Linked DNA regions of Coturnix japonica. The protein of the gene in region 1 interacts with the protein of each later gene in a pairwise test. Links are inferred from orthologs where the notes say so. Each region holds a gene or a part of one and is shown on either strand. Other genes may lie near its edges.

What was found.
Region 2: the proteins of SH3GL3 (region 1) and RPL35A interact in a two-hybrid assay, tested with the Homo sapiens proteins (2 studies listed by BioGRID and IntAct). The link is inferred for Coturnix japonica from reciprocal best matches to the Homo sapiens genes SH3GL3 and RPL35A.
Region 3: the proteins of SH3GL3 (region 1) and ATXN2 interact in binary tests that used the Homo sapiens proteins (3 or more experiments, as listed by UniProt). The link is inferred for Coturnix japonica from reciprocal best matches to the Homo sapiens genes SH3GL3 and ATXN2.

Annotation. Positions count from the first base shown.
Region 1 is NC_029525.1:10,189,253-10,192,752, forward strand, and holds part of SH3GL3 (endophilin-A3), read left to right. Parts: intron 1-426; coding exon 427-499; intron 500-2,012; coding exon 2,013-2,156; intron 2,157-2,842; coding exon 2,843-2,976; intron 2,977-3,500. UniProt on the Homo sapiens protein: Implicated in endocytosis. May recruit other proteins to membranes with high curvature.
Region 2 is NC_029524.1:13,176,445-13,180,526, forward strand, and holds RPL35A (60S ribosomal protein L35a), read left to right. Parts: upstream 1-1,399; 5' UTR 1,400-1,509; intron 1,510-1,803; 5' UTR 1,804-1,838; coding exon 1,839-1,849; intron 1,850-2,333; coding exon 2,334-2,486; intron 2,487-2,965; coding exon 2,966-3,110; intron 3,111-3,522; coding exon 3,523-3,546; 3' UTR 3,547-3,582; downstream 3,583-4,082. Other genes in the region: IQCG (dynein regulatory complex protein 9), read right to left, coding at 977-1,120, 1,209-1,298.
Region 3 is NC_029530.1:5,336,603-5,340,841, reverse strand, and holds the start of ATXN2 (ataxin-2), read left to right. Parts: upstream 1-1,439; 5' UTR 1,440-1,546; intron 1,547-2,936; 5' UTR 2,937-2,963; coding exon 2,964-2,996; intron 2,997-3,689; coding exon 3,690-3,761; intron 3,762-4,000; coding exon 4,001-4,151; intron 4,152-4,239. UniProt on the Homo sapiens protein: Involved in EGFR trafficking, acting as negative regulator of endocytic EGFR internalization at the plasma membrane.

The sequences.
Region 1 (3,500 bases):
ATAGCGTTTAAAAACATAAATGGGATAATAGTGTAAATGGTTTAAATGGCCCTGACCCCAAGGCTGTAATTTGGGATATTTTTGATCTTTTTCACCTGGTGAGAAAAACAGTCATAGTAACAACTGTTGGGCTGGCAGGAGAAGTGTAGTCTGCAATACATAAGCAGCATTCAGGACTGATGAACCTGAAAGATAAGAAGTTCCCCCTGTTTTAATAGAAACCTTTCCTTCCGAGTGCTAACTGCCAATTCACTTATTTTTGGTGCAGTCTGGTTGCAAACATGTAAACAGCCATTTATTTTAAGCTGCCAGATTTGCTTTATTTTAAATATATTTTCATAAGCAGTTAGAATAGGATATTTAATCAAACTATACATTTCTAATAATAGATTTGCTTCTACTAACTATGCCACTTTTCTTTTTCAGAAAATTGATGTTACAAATAAAGCTGTAGCAGAGCTTCTGTCAAAATCCACGGAGTATCTTCAGCCAAATCCAGGTAAACTAGTAACAATAGGGGTCAAATTTTGTTGAAAATTATCTTCTTACTCTGAATTTCATCCTAAGTAGATAAAGGCTGATTGGGTCATTATTGTGAGGCTTCTGGATGTCCTAGAGTGCCTCACCTGTGTGCACAAAGAACTGTACTGTACAATGAAGCTATAAAGTATACATGCATCCTTGGATGTGTTCAGTTTGGAACACACATTGCATGGGACTTACTGGGCACGTGTAGGTTGTATGTGCATGACATGTATTGGATGGCCTGGGATGGTAACGGCACTGGTGTACCTATTTGTGCTGCATTTCCTGCAGTGGGATATGGATCCCTAAAGTGAAGAGAATGTCCTTGAATTTAACTTGTGCACTGCTGCCATCAGGGGTACTGCTGGTTATGTAGCCATGGGGAGCAGGGCTGTTACTTGCCTACCCAGTGTCTGAGTGAAGCTTTGCTTTTCCTGGACACTGTAAGGTCTGAGTGGATTTTTGGTAGTCAGTTAACAGGCTTCTAAAATTTTGGTTTGAGAAAAGGAAAGAAGGCATATTTACATCTACTCTTGATCACAAAGATGATCTGTTAAGAGTTGGAATTACTGTCCAAACCATCTGCTGGAAGAGCCTTCATTTTTTTAGAACTGTCTGACTGGATTCATGTTTAGTCTGCTGAATGTGATGAATTCAGAGATAGCTGTTTGTACTGGGTGCCTCACAAGATGCACATCACCAGAGAAGTTCAATATGTTGCTAATGCCTACAGGAGAAGCAACTAATGGGTTGTGCCTACTACAGGATGAGAATATTCAGCACTTCAGCAAAGCCCAGCTAAGGGTATTCAAGATGCAGTTTGTCACCATCCATGGCTCACATTTTTTAGGATATGTCCTAATGTTGGCTATTACTATGTCAAAGAAGCTGTTGAGTTGATAGTAGGAGTAGACTGGAAAACATTCCAAGAATAACTGCGTGGTTTTGTCGTGATATGATCAGCACCAAAATAAATTGATTTGCATGCATCTGTCTTTTCTGCAAAAATAGAAAAAAAAACAAACAAAAAACCCTCTGTCTTGAGTATTGGGACCACTAAAACAGTGGGGAAAAGAAGTCCTACAAAGTCCTCATAAGCAGGAGTGTGAAACTGGCATTGGCTGTACTTACAGGAGCCCATACTGTGTTTGCTATTTGCACTGTTTTTAATAGACTTCACAAACAGAAATACCCAGGGGAATGTGAATGTTGGTGAATATCCGCAAGAGGTGGCAGGCATTACCCCTGTGTGTCTGTCTGGAGAAATGCTGCCCATCCAGTTGGGAACAAAGCAATTTCATATGACCCTTACTGTTGAATGAGATCTACTTTTGACTATTAAATACTGTCAACAAAAGACTCGTGGATCTACAAACCAGCTTAGTGATTTGCTTTGTGAGATTGCTTGTTAAATGATTTATTGCTTTGAATAATTTAAAACTTGTTTTTATAACTCTTGTTCTTCTTCATGTTCATGTCCTTTTTAGCATACAGAGCCAAGCTGGGAATGCTGAACACTATGTCAAAGATCAGAGGACAAGTTAAAACCACAGGCTATCCTCAGACAGAAGGACTCCTAGGAGACTGCATGATACGGTATGGCAGAGAGCTTGGCGATGATTCTATGTTTGGTGAGTTTGTGTACCTCCTTTGAGAATATTTCCATATAAAGTTCTTCACAGAATATTACTCAGTGACGTAACCTGTGTAAATAGCTAATCCAGGTAAGAGAGCAAGCTATGTACAGGGGTTAGGGAGTGACTGATACAGTAATACCCAATGCTTCTGTGTATTTGTCCATCTCTGTTGCAGGTGTAACTAATTCTGTTTCATGGTTCCTATTATAAAAACAAATATCTTGTTTCTAAGTTGCCAAGGAATAATCCAGAGCAATCCGTAGATGCAATGTATTTTTTTAAGTACCTTTAAATAAAAATGGTTTTCCTATATCTGAGAAGTAAAGATTTTCTCGAGGAGGTGGAGGGGGGAGAGGGAAAGGCAGTTACTTTCCGAAGGCCTACAGCAGATACAAATATACCTCCTTGAAAGAACTGTATTATAAGACGTGGTTTTTGTTTGTTTTTCCTGAAGGGCTTAAGGGGAGATGGGGGAGAGGAACACAGGGTATGTTTTGGAGCAGAATTTTCCAGTACTAATTTTCTGCAGGAGAAAAGCAAGTGCATTTTTATTTTTATTTTTATTTTTTTTATTTTCCAAGGGCTACAGCAAATGCACAGTTGCCCACTTGAGTTTTATTATAAGATGCATTTGTTGTCTCATGCTTACTGAGATATAAGCAGCATATTCTTTACCATAGGCCTTGCGCTGCTGGATGCTGGTGAAAGCATGAAACAATTGGCTGAAGTGAAGGACTCGCTTGATATTAATGTCAAACAAAATTTCATTGATCCCCTACAGTTATTGCAGGATAAAGATTTGAAAGAGATTGGGGTAAGTTTGTCCGGATTATTTACCAATAATCAGAGTAAATCAGGCTCCAGTTCTCTGAGAGGCTTTTTTGGATGCCTAAAGGTAAATAAATGTCATAGCATTTAAGCTTATTTCTCTAGCAAAGTAGTGGCGAAATCTGCTTATAGTCAATGTCTGGCTTTTTTTCACCATAGTCTAGCTTTCTTAGTTTGCAAATCCCCATACATTCAGTTCAAGAAGATAGTGAAGAAAAATATATTCATTTTCTACTGTTTTGTTTTGACCAACATTTGTTATTAATTGATCTGAACACATGAGTAAGCTGTGATTTACTGTGACTGATTATTCTGTCTTGCTGCCTCAGTCACCAATAGCTGTTTATTATAGAGGCTGAAGGCTCTTCAGAGCAATCACAGAGCGATCTGAAAAGTGCCATCAATTGCTGAGTGCCATATCCCACTATGGGGAAAGATACAGGATGCTGAAGAATATATTTTTAACCTTTAATGTGAGGTTTTGTTTACAAAATGACAGTTCAAAAGAAA
Region 2 (4,082 bases), on another chromosome or scaffold:
TTATCTTTGCTGGTCTTTTGCCCTAAATTTAGCAGACAGAAGGGCTGCCTTCTCTGGGGAATGCACTGCATGAAGCAGTCTACAAGAGTCCCTGATTTAGGAACAAGCAACACAGTGACTGAGGCTCTAAAAGTTGGCTTCTCCAGAGCCATTTTCTGGTTTCTAAACTGCTTCCTCCTTGATTTGAGGATTGTACTCCATGGGAAAGTTGTGTCTTAAGAAATAAACTACTTAGTAAAAACGAGCCTCTGTGTTTGAAGAGAAAAACCAAGTGTACCTCTAGGAGGTCTGTCAGCCTCAGTGTGTGTGAGGGAGAAGGAGAACTGCGCCCACCATTCTCGGGATCTGCTGTATCAGATCAGCTGGCACAGCGGAGCTTTCACAGCCCCATCTGTGGGAGAAAAGCATCCTCGGCCAACAGGTGAGACGGGCTCAGGGTGCTCTCTAAGGAGAGCAGTGCCCTCTATAGCGCAGCCGGAGCATTGATCGAGCACTACAGTTATGTCGAGCAGCTTCTGCTCTACTTTATGCCTCTCCCCAGAACCACTTAGTTACGGTGTCTATTAGAAATCAACTCATTAATAACGGGCATTAATAATGAGTAGTTACTAATAGATTTTTGAAGGGAAATCTGTCTTATTTTGTTGTCTGTGGGGACTAGAGGAGCTTCAGTGTGTGCTTATAGAGTATCAGAATGACCCTGATTTGGGGTATTATCAAAGTCCCTGTTCTTTATTATTTATAAAGCTGTGCACTTAGGAGACGTCAGCCATCTGTTGTTTATTTTCCCCTGATCCTTTACTTATCATCTGACCACTGAGGTTGTAGAATGAAGCCTCAGAAGCTCATCTTATGTCACCAGGGTCCTTCACACAGCCATGCCAAAGAGACAAGTACCTGTGTGGAGACTTATAGAATGCTGACAGAAGACATAAAAGGCATTGAGAAAAATGAGAGCAAACACAGAGGCACATACACTGCTGACATCTGCCTTGCCCTCCTGTGAAACCGGCATGATGTACCCGAGGATGGCGAGCTGATCGATGCAATTCTCCAGCACAGCAGTGAGCAGCAGAGCTTCCAGCCGAGGGAGCTTCTCCATTTCTTTAGTGCCTGTGCTCTTGTAAAGAGGAATAAAGAGGAATAGAGGTGGGATGGTGTTAGTAACACTAAACCAAAGCCCACCCCTCTCCCTCACCGCTCAGTACCGTTCCGCGGCGCTCAACGCGACGCCGTCTCCATGGCGCCCGGGGTCCTGGCGGGGCTGTCCCTGCGGGTGCCGAGGCCTGTTCCCTCATCGCCGCCCGGAGGAGTAACGGGACTCACGGACATGGCGAGGGACGACAAAAGGCACCGATATCGGTGCACACCCAGCGCTGTGTCGGCCCGTACCGTGTGCGCTCAGGCTGTGACACGGGCAGCCCGCAGCCGGGGCCCTTAGAGCCGCAATCCCGGCGGGCCGCGCGCCGCCTCGTCCTTTGGCCGCCATCTTGGCTGCGCGCCGTGCTGGTGAGCGGGGTGCGGCGGGCGGGGTGTTGTGTCGGGCGTTGTGTCGGGCGTTGTGTCGGGCAATGACCATCCCGGCGGCGGCGGGGACACCGGGGCGGGGCGGATGGCGGGGTGTCGGGTGTGGAGCGGGCGGGATGGCGCCGATACACGGCGGATGGTGTCGGCTCTGGGGCTGAAGGGAGCTGAGGTGCCGGCGGGGCCTTGCGCTGTGAGGAGCCGGAGCCGGCCCGCTGCAGCCCGCGGTGCTGAGGCCTTGTCGGGCTGTGGGCACTGAGCGGGGTGTGTTGTTTGTAGGCTGAGCTGCCGGGACTGCGCTGCACGAGGACGCCATGACCGGGAGGTGAGTGTCTGCCTGTGTCTGTACGGCTGGATGGGGAGCTGCGCTGTGCTGACGGCACCGCTGAGTCTCTGCTGTCCCAGCACGGCGCTGCCCGGTGCACACACAGGGCGATCTCTGTGTGTGTGTGTTACATCGCTACGTTTGTGTTGCTCTCTTGAAACCCCTGTCTTCAGCTGGCTGTAGCAGTTCAGCCTTGAAGGGAACATAGAAACAGAAGGGGGGACCAACTTCTTACATGGCCTAATAGATTTCTGTGAGATGTGAAGATGTTTTTATACTCATTAAGCATTGAGGAACCAGCAGTGCTACCCAAAGCTGTGGGTGCCCCCTCCCTGCAGGTGCCCAAGGCCAAGTTGGATGGGCCCTGGGCAGCTTGAGCTGGTGGAGGCATCCAGCCCATGGTACACGGTGGGCTTTGAGGTCCCTTCCAACCAAAGTTTAATGTGTTAAACTGAGTTAATCTGTTCTTTCTCCATGTCTTTAGGTTGTGGTGCAAGGCCACTTTTGCTGGCTACAAACGTGGCCTCCGGAACCAGCGGGAGCACACTGCCCTGCTGAAAATTGAAGGTGTTTACGCTCGCCAGGAGACAGAGTTCTACTTAGGCAAGAGATGTGCCTATGTCTACAAAGCTAAGAAGTAAGTTGGTCGTCTTTTATTATCTTTTGCAAATGCCGGGATGTGAGCAGTCAGTTGGTTGGCAGCAAATTGAAGCGAGATGAGTTTGTGGTGATCATTGAGTTTTTGAGATCCTTAGAGGTGGAATATTTTGCCAGGCAAAAAGAAGTTGATAGAGCAGCCCTTGTGTGTGTGTGTCACAGCTCTGCTGTGCCTGCAGTGGTAGAGGCTTTAAGAACAATTGTTTATTGTCTTCTGCTTGATTTTTCTTTGAGAGTGGTTGTTCTGATGTCAGATGTGGAATTCCCTGTAATAAATTTGTCAGGCTGTTCATCACTGCTGTCATTTCAAGGGTGGCACGTGGCTTCTTGTAGCTGCTGCCTGTCTCGATGCCTGAGGCCCTTTGTGCCTGTGGTGTGACTGGAGAAATCCTACGTTAAGATACTCCAGGTTCATTCCAAAGGAAACACACTGAGTTCTGTGTCTTTTTGTTCCCTCAGCAACACCGTCACCCCCGGTGGGAAACCCAACAGGACGCGGGTGATCTGGGGGAAGGTGACCCGCGCCCATGGGAACAGCGGGATGGTTCGTGCCAAGTTCCGCTCCAACCTCCCCGCCAAGGCCATCGGACACAGGATCCGAGTGGTGAGCAGCATTAGGAACCAGGGGCTCCTTGTCAGCCTTTGGGCTGCCTCGTAATCTCATCTTGCACCATTGCTTTTTGTACTCTGCCTCATTTCCTACCTAGTGGCAAGGGAGCTGCGGCATCAACTTCTCTTACTCCCCATATAACTGCATGAGCTGCATGGCAGAGTCCTCAAAGTAGGCATGGGAAGGCTGAGCAGGAGAGTGACTGCTGGGTGGGAGCTTTGATACCATCAGATGCTGCTTCACGTCACTCAGCTCCTTGTTAGACTTTCCTGCCCCTTTTCTGCATAAATGGGAGTCACTTAAAATAGTTGAAGAGATCCATGATTCAGATGATAGCTATAAATTTGCTGACTTGTACAGTCCAATAACAGGAATTCTAACGTGATTCTGTTGTTGTGTTTTTCAGATGCTGTATCCATCCAGGATCTAAATTTTTATTGGAAATAAAATACAGAATAATCTGTTCCATTTTTGTACTTTCCTCTTTTTCATCCCCTCCACCTATATTGAGAGCTTTGATTCTTCAGTAGTGTACCACAGTACACAGCACACTGATGTAGGAGTGACTCTAAACTAGCTCCTAAGCTGGAGATTTGACCCGTACTTGTTAAAGGCATCTGTTGAGCAGGCTGCCTTTGAAAAGGCAAATAACTGCCAGCCTTTATCATTGCCTCCAATGTAGAATCTGAATGGCATGTAGGTCCAAACAATAAATGTTTGCAGTCTTTGTAGACCGTGCCCCCAAGTTTTCTATAGAAAATGAGAAATATTTCCTTGTCTCGTGTGTGTGAGTGTGAGGTTTGTCAAACAGAAAGGCAATGAAAGTGGATTTAAAGATTCTTAAAGTGCGATTTTCTTAGTGCATAAAAAGATACCGTATGACTTTAAGGGAAGCTTCGGGCAGCTGCAGGTTGTCATGGCTGCTGCTGATGTCATAGTCTTCTTTCACTCCCCAAAGGAATCATC
Region 3 (4,239 bases), on another chromosome or scaffold:
TAAATGGCAGCCTTACTCAATGGTAAGACTTGCTGGTCACCAGGACGAGCCAAAAGTTGTGACTTGTCTTCTAGAAAGCCAAGGCTTATAGGTAATTAAATACAGGCTATTTGGTTTAGAATTTTTTTGGTATGTATGAAATTAGAACTCTGCAAGTATCCTGAAAATGTCAGCTTGACATCTGAAGTCTGCATTTATTACCAATCAGCAAATGTCATCGGTGGGAGCGATGCTGTACAGGATGGCACACTGGGCTCAGAATCTTGCTTTCTCCAACTGCTCAGGTGATAGGTCAGTGGGGCTTTGGTTTTGTTTTTTCCTTGCTATGGACATTTCTGCTCCTCCGATGGACTTGCTGATTTCTGCAGAATTTGTGCTCATGAGAATTCCTTGGCCAGCTTGTGAGTCCTGCTCATAATAAGGGCATGGTTTGGAGCACAGCTGCCTTCAGCTACAGCACAGTGCTTTCAGACGCATTTGAACACATTTGATGTTTAGGTTTCAGCATTGTTTGACTGTTTTGAAACATGAACATGATTCTTTGGGTCTCTGATCAAATGGATGTGCATCTGGAAGGTGAGTCAGTTGCAAAAATGGATGTTTTCGTAAATAAAATTGAAGACTTCATTTTGCCTTACTCTCGTTGGGTGCACTCTTAAGGTCGTCATTGTGATACAAATCTCAGTCATCACAAGAAAGATTTGAAAGTGGGGCTTCCTATTGTTGTACAAACCTTAATCACTACAAAAAAGTGGTTGGAACTGGGGCTGCTTCTTGTACAGAGGGAGCTTGGATGTGAGGACATGAAGCACACCAGGCAGCCTGAGGTTTTATGGCAGCTGCAGGGATGTTGTTGGCACTTCTAGGGCTGAGTTGAAAGGGACAGACTGTTACATCTCAGTTTGCAGAGCATTAAGAGTCTACGAGTTAATTTAAAGGCATTTTGAAGTGTTGAGGTTGTTATGTGTTCACTGATTTGTGTGTGGTTACTGGTTTTAAGGGGCTGTGTGTGGCTGGTGCTCTCTTACAAGCACATAAGCTGTAAGTAGAGACTGAGAACTGGGCCTTGTGGGCAGCTGTTTGGGTGACCCTCAACAGAGAAGGATGGTGGCAGTGTGGAGAAACCAGGCCTAGAGAATTGGCTGCAAAAATTGCCTGGAAGTGCAGTGAAGCAGTTTAGGTTCTCTGCACCAATAGGTTTTGGAACTTCCCTTAGCTACAGGACTCTACTTGAGAGAGAATATTTTTGGATTTTTGTAATGACACAGCATTAGTATTTTCTTTGTTTTGCCATTTATTGTAGGTAACCTTTTTACCCATTTACTGATATTGCTTGTAGGTCAGTAATTTGAGGGATAGATGCTATAGGCTCCGTTACTGCTAAGTTTGAGCTCTCTTTGCTCTCATTCTCAGCACAAAGTTAAATTGGGTTTTTGAATTCTTATTTGTTAAGAAATCAATCCTTTTCAACATTTCTTAATTGTTTCTTTTGTCTGTGTTTTCTTTCAGAGGTCGCAGCAGTGGCAAAGGACCTCCTCAGCCCACAGTGAGTATTTTTTCCTTGTTGTTTCCTCTTTAGATACAAGGAAACATCTTTTCTGATGACCTTTCTTAGCAGTGTGAAAATGGCACATTGTGGAATACTCATAATTTTTTTTTCCTTTTGATACCTCAATGAGTATTTTAGACTTTTTTTTTTTTAAATGTAGAATATCTTGCATTCATCTCAGTCTCTGATTCTATGATCTAAGTCTCCTGGGAGAACGGGGAGAGAAGGAACTCTTACACGTTTGAAACATGCCAATAAAAATCTTTCTTGTGATTATAATTGCAAATACATGGATAAAATTTAACTTGGGAACAGATTCAAAAGTGTTGCCTCTGTGGAAACTCTCTATACTGACTTCTTTAAACAGAGGACTGAAGATGGTGAGACAACACTATGTTAAAGTGAAGTAGCAATTGTGTTCAGCTTTACTACAAAATAGCTAACCCAATGTTATTGTAGCTAAGCCTCTGTTACCTGTGTTTGTAGCTTTAGTTATTGTCGAGGCTAAAACACTGTTGCACTCTAGATGTAACTTGGTTTGTAGAATGTTTTGTGGAAGGTGAAGATCTGGGTCTTGATTTAAAAAACGGATCTTTGAACTGCACTAATCAAATATTTGCTAATTTGGTAGTGGCTTGATTCTCAAGGATGACTAATTCTAGGGAATGGGGCAGGAGTAGGAAGGGCTGAAAGGACTACAGTTTACCTCTGTAAGTGTATATTGAAGATAATGAGTCTCTTCAGTAAAAATAAAGAGGCTATGAGGGAGAGCAGTGAAAAAGGTGATGCACAAGTAGGAAGTGTTAGGCTTTCTGTATGTTAGGCTTACTGAGTGTTGAGCACAGGACCATCCTTAAACGCATTGGTTCCCATGTTCTAGAACTGTGGTGAATGTTTTTTGACTAGTTTTATAATAGGCCTTGTAGCTCTTTAGCAGTTCACAACTTGATGACTTCATCTCCTGTTAGTGCATGTTATCAAGTCTGTTTGCTGCAAAGATGTAGTTCAGGGAACATTTCTCCTACTGCAGCAGTTGAGGTGCCTTGTTCCTGTTCCCAGGGAGGGCTGCTAGCAGGGCTTCCCAGTTGTGAGACTTGGTATGTGAGTTCTACCCCAGTTTACATTGGGTTGAGGCACACTGTAAGGTTTCTCATGTTTTTAAGGGTGATCTGATATTTAATCGATCAGAGAAAGGGTAGAATCCTCTGGGCATTTGCTGTGACTTAAATTCAATGTATACTGACCAAGTAAGGTTTTTTGACCATTGTCTTTCTAGCAGCTACTATTTACTGCTGAGAGCTGACTTTGTTCTTGTCTCATTGCCTTTCTGAATTATGAGTGTTTCCCATAAAAATGACAACTTCATTATTATATTTTTTTTTTTCAGATTTCTTTTGATGGCATCTATGCAAACATGAGAATGGTTCACATACTTACATCAGTTGTTGTAAGTCTTCATATTTGCAAGGCGTGTAAACAGTTTCTATAGTGACAGAGAATTGTTAAATATTACACTAATTGTAATATAATGGAGTGAATATTAAAGTTCAGCAGTGGGCATCTTGTTCCAAGATTGAAATTTAAACAGTCATAGTAATAGCTATTGTGTATTTTTGGCTTGGAAAACTGCAGATTATATTTGGGATGGCAGATTTCTTACGCTCATTGGTCGTGTTTTGAATTTTCTGTCTCCAGAGAGATTATGAATAAGCAATGAATTTATATATAGGGAATAGAAACCCTTCATCCCTTGTGTTAAAAACTTGGTGATACGGACCGTCCCATGGCAGCTGGAATCTGGGATAAAACTTAACCTTACCTGTACCTGTGCATATGCATGGATTTGTTTTTGCACAGAGACTTGTTTGCATGCATGCATAGCTAATCAAAAGTCTTGTGTGTGCTGAAAATACTTCCGTGAGGATCTTTAATAAAGTCTGGGACATACCAAAGTGTTTGTATCTGTGGCATGCAGAGACATATTTGTAAATGGGCGAATGTTGAAAAAGTAGATTCAGCTGAAAGCTAAGCTCTGTTTTTACCCATTGTGCTTCTGTAAATATATATTCTTTGAGAAAATCACTTGTGTCATTTGTCAGGCTTGACAGAGTGCTACACTTGGATTTTTCTTGCATTCTAGGGATCCAAATGTGAAGTACAGGTGAAAAATGGTGGTATATATGAAGGAGTTTTTAAAACCTACAGTCCTAAGGTAAAGGCTTTTTTTTCCTTTTTGACTCTTCCCTCTTTTGAAAGGTACTAATACAGTATAATCAATTCTTAATTAAGTTGGAATATTTATTATCAATTATTCTGACTGATCCATGTCAAATTTTACACATGCAGATTCACTTTTGCAAATTTCTGTAAATGTGTGCTTTTTTTTCAAGGATGTGAGTTACCAGTAGTGTGTGGTGTATCCAATTAGGATATTCTTTTTATCTTTACTAGTGTGATTTAGTGCTTGATGCTGCTCATCGGAAAACTGCAGAATCCAGTTTGGGGCCAAAACGTGAAGACATACTAGAAAGTATTTTATTCAAGTCTTCAGATTTTGTTATGGTGCATTTTAAGGATATGGATACCAATTACGCAAGAAGAGGTATACATTTTTCTTTTAAGATTCTTAAAGTTATCTATGTCTTAAGATTGTAAGTCAAGATTTCAAAAGGTTTTTTTTTAATGCTTTT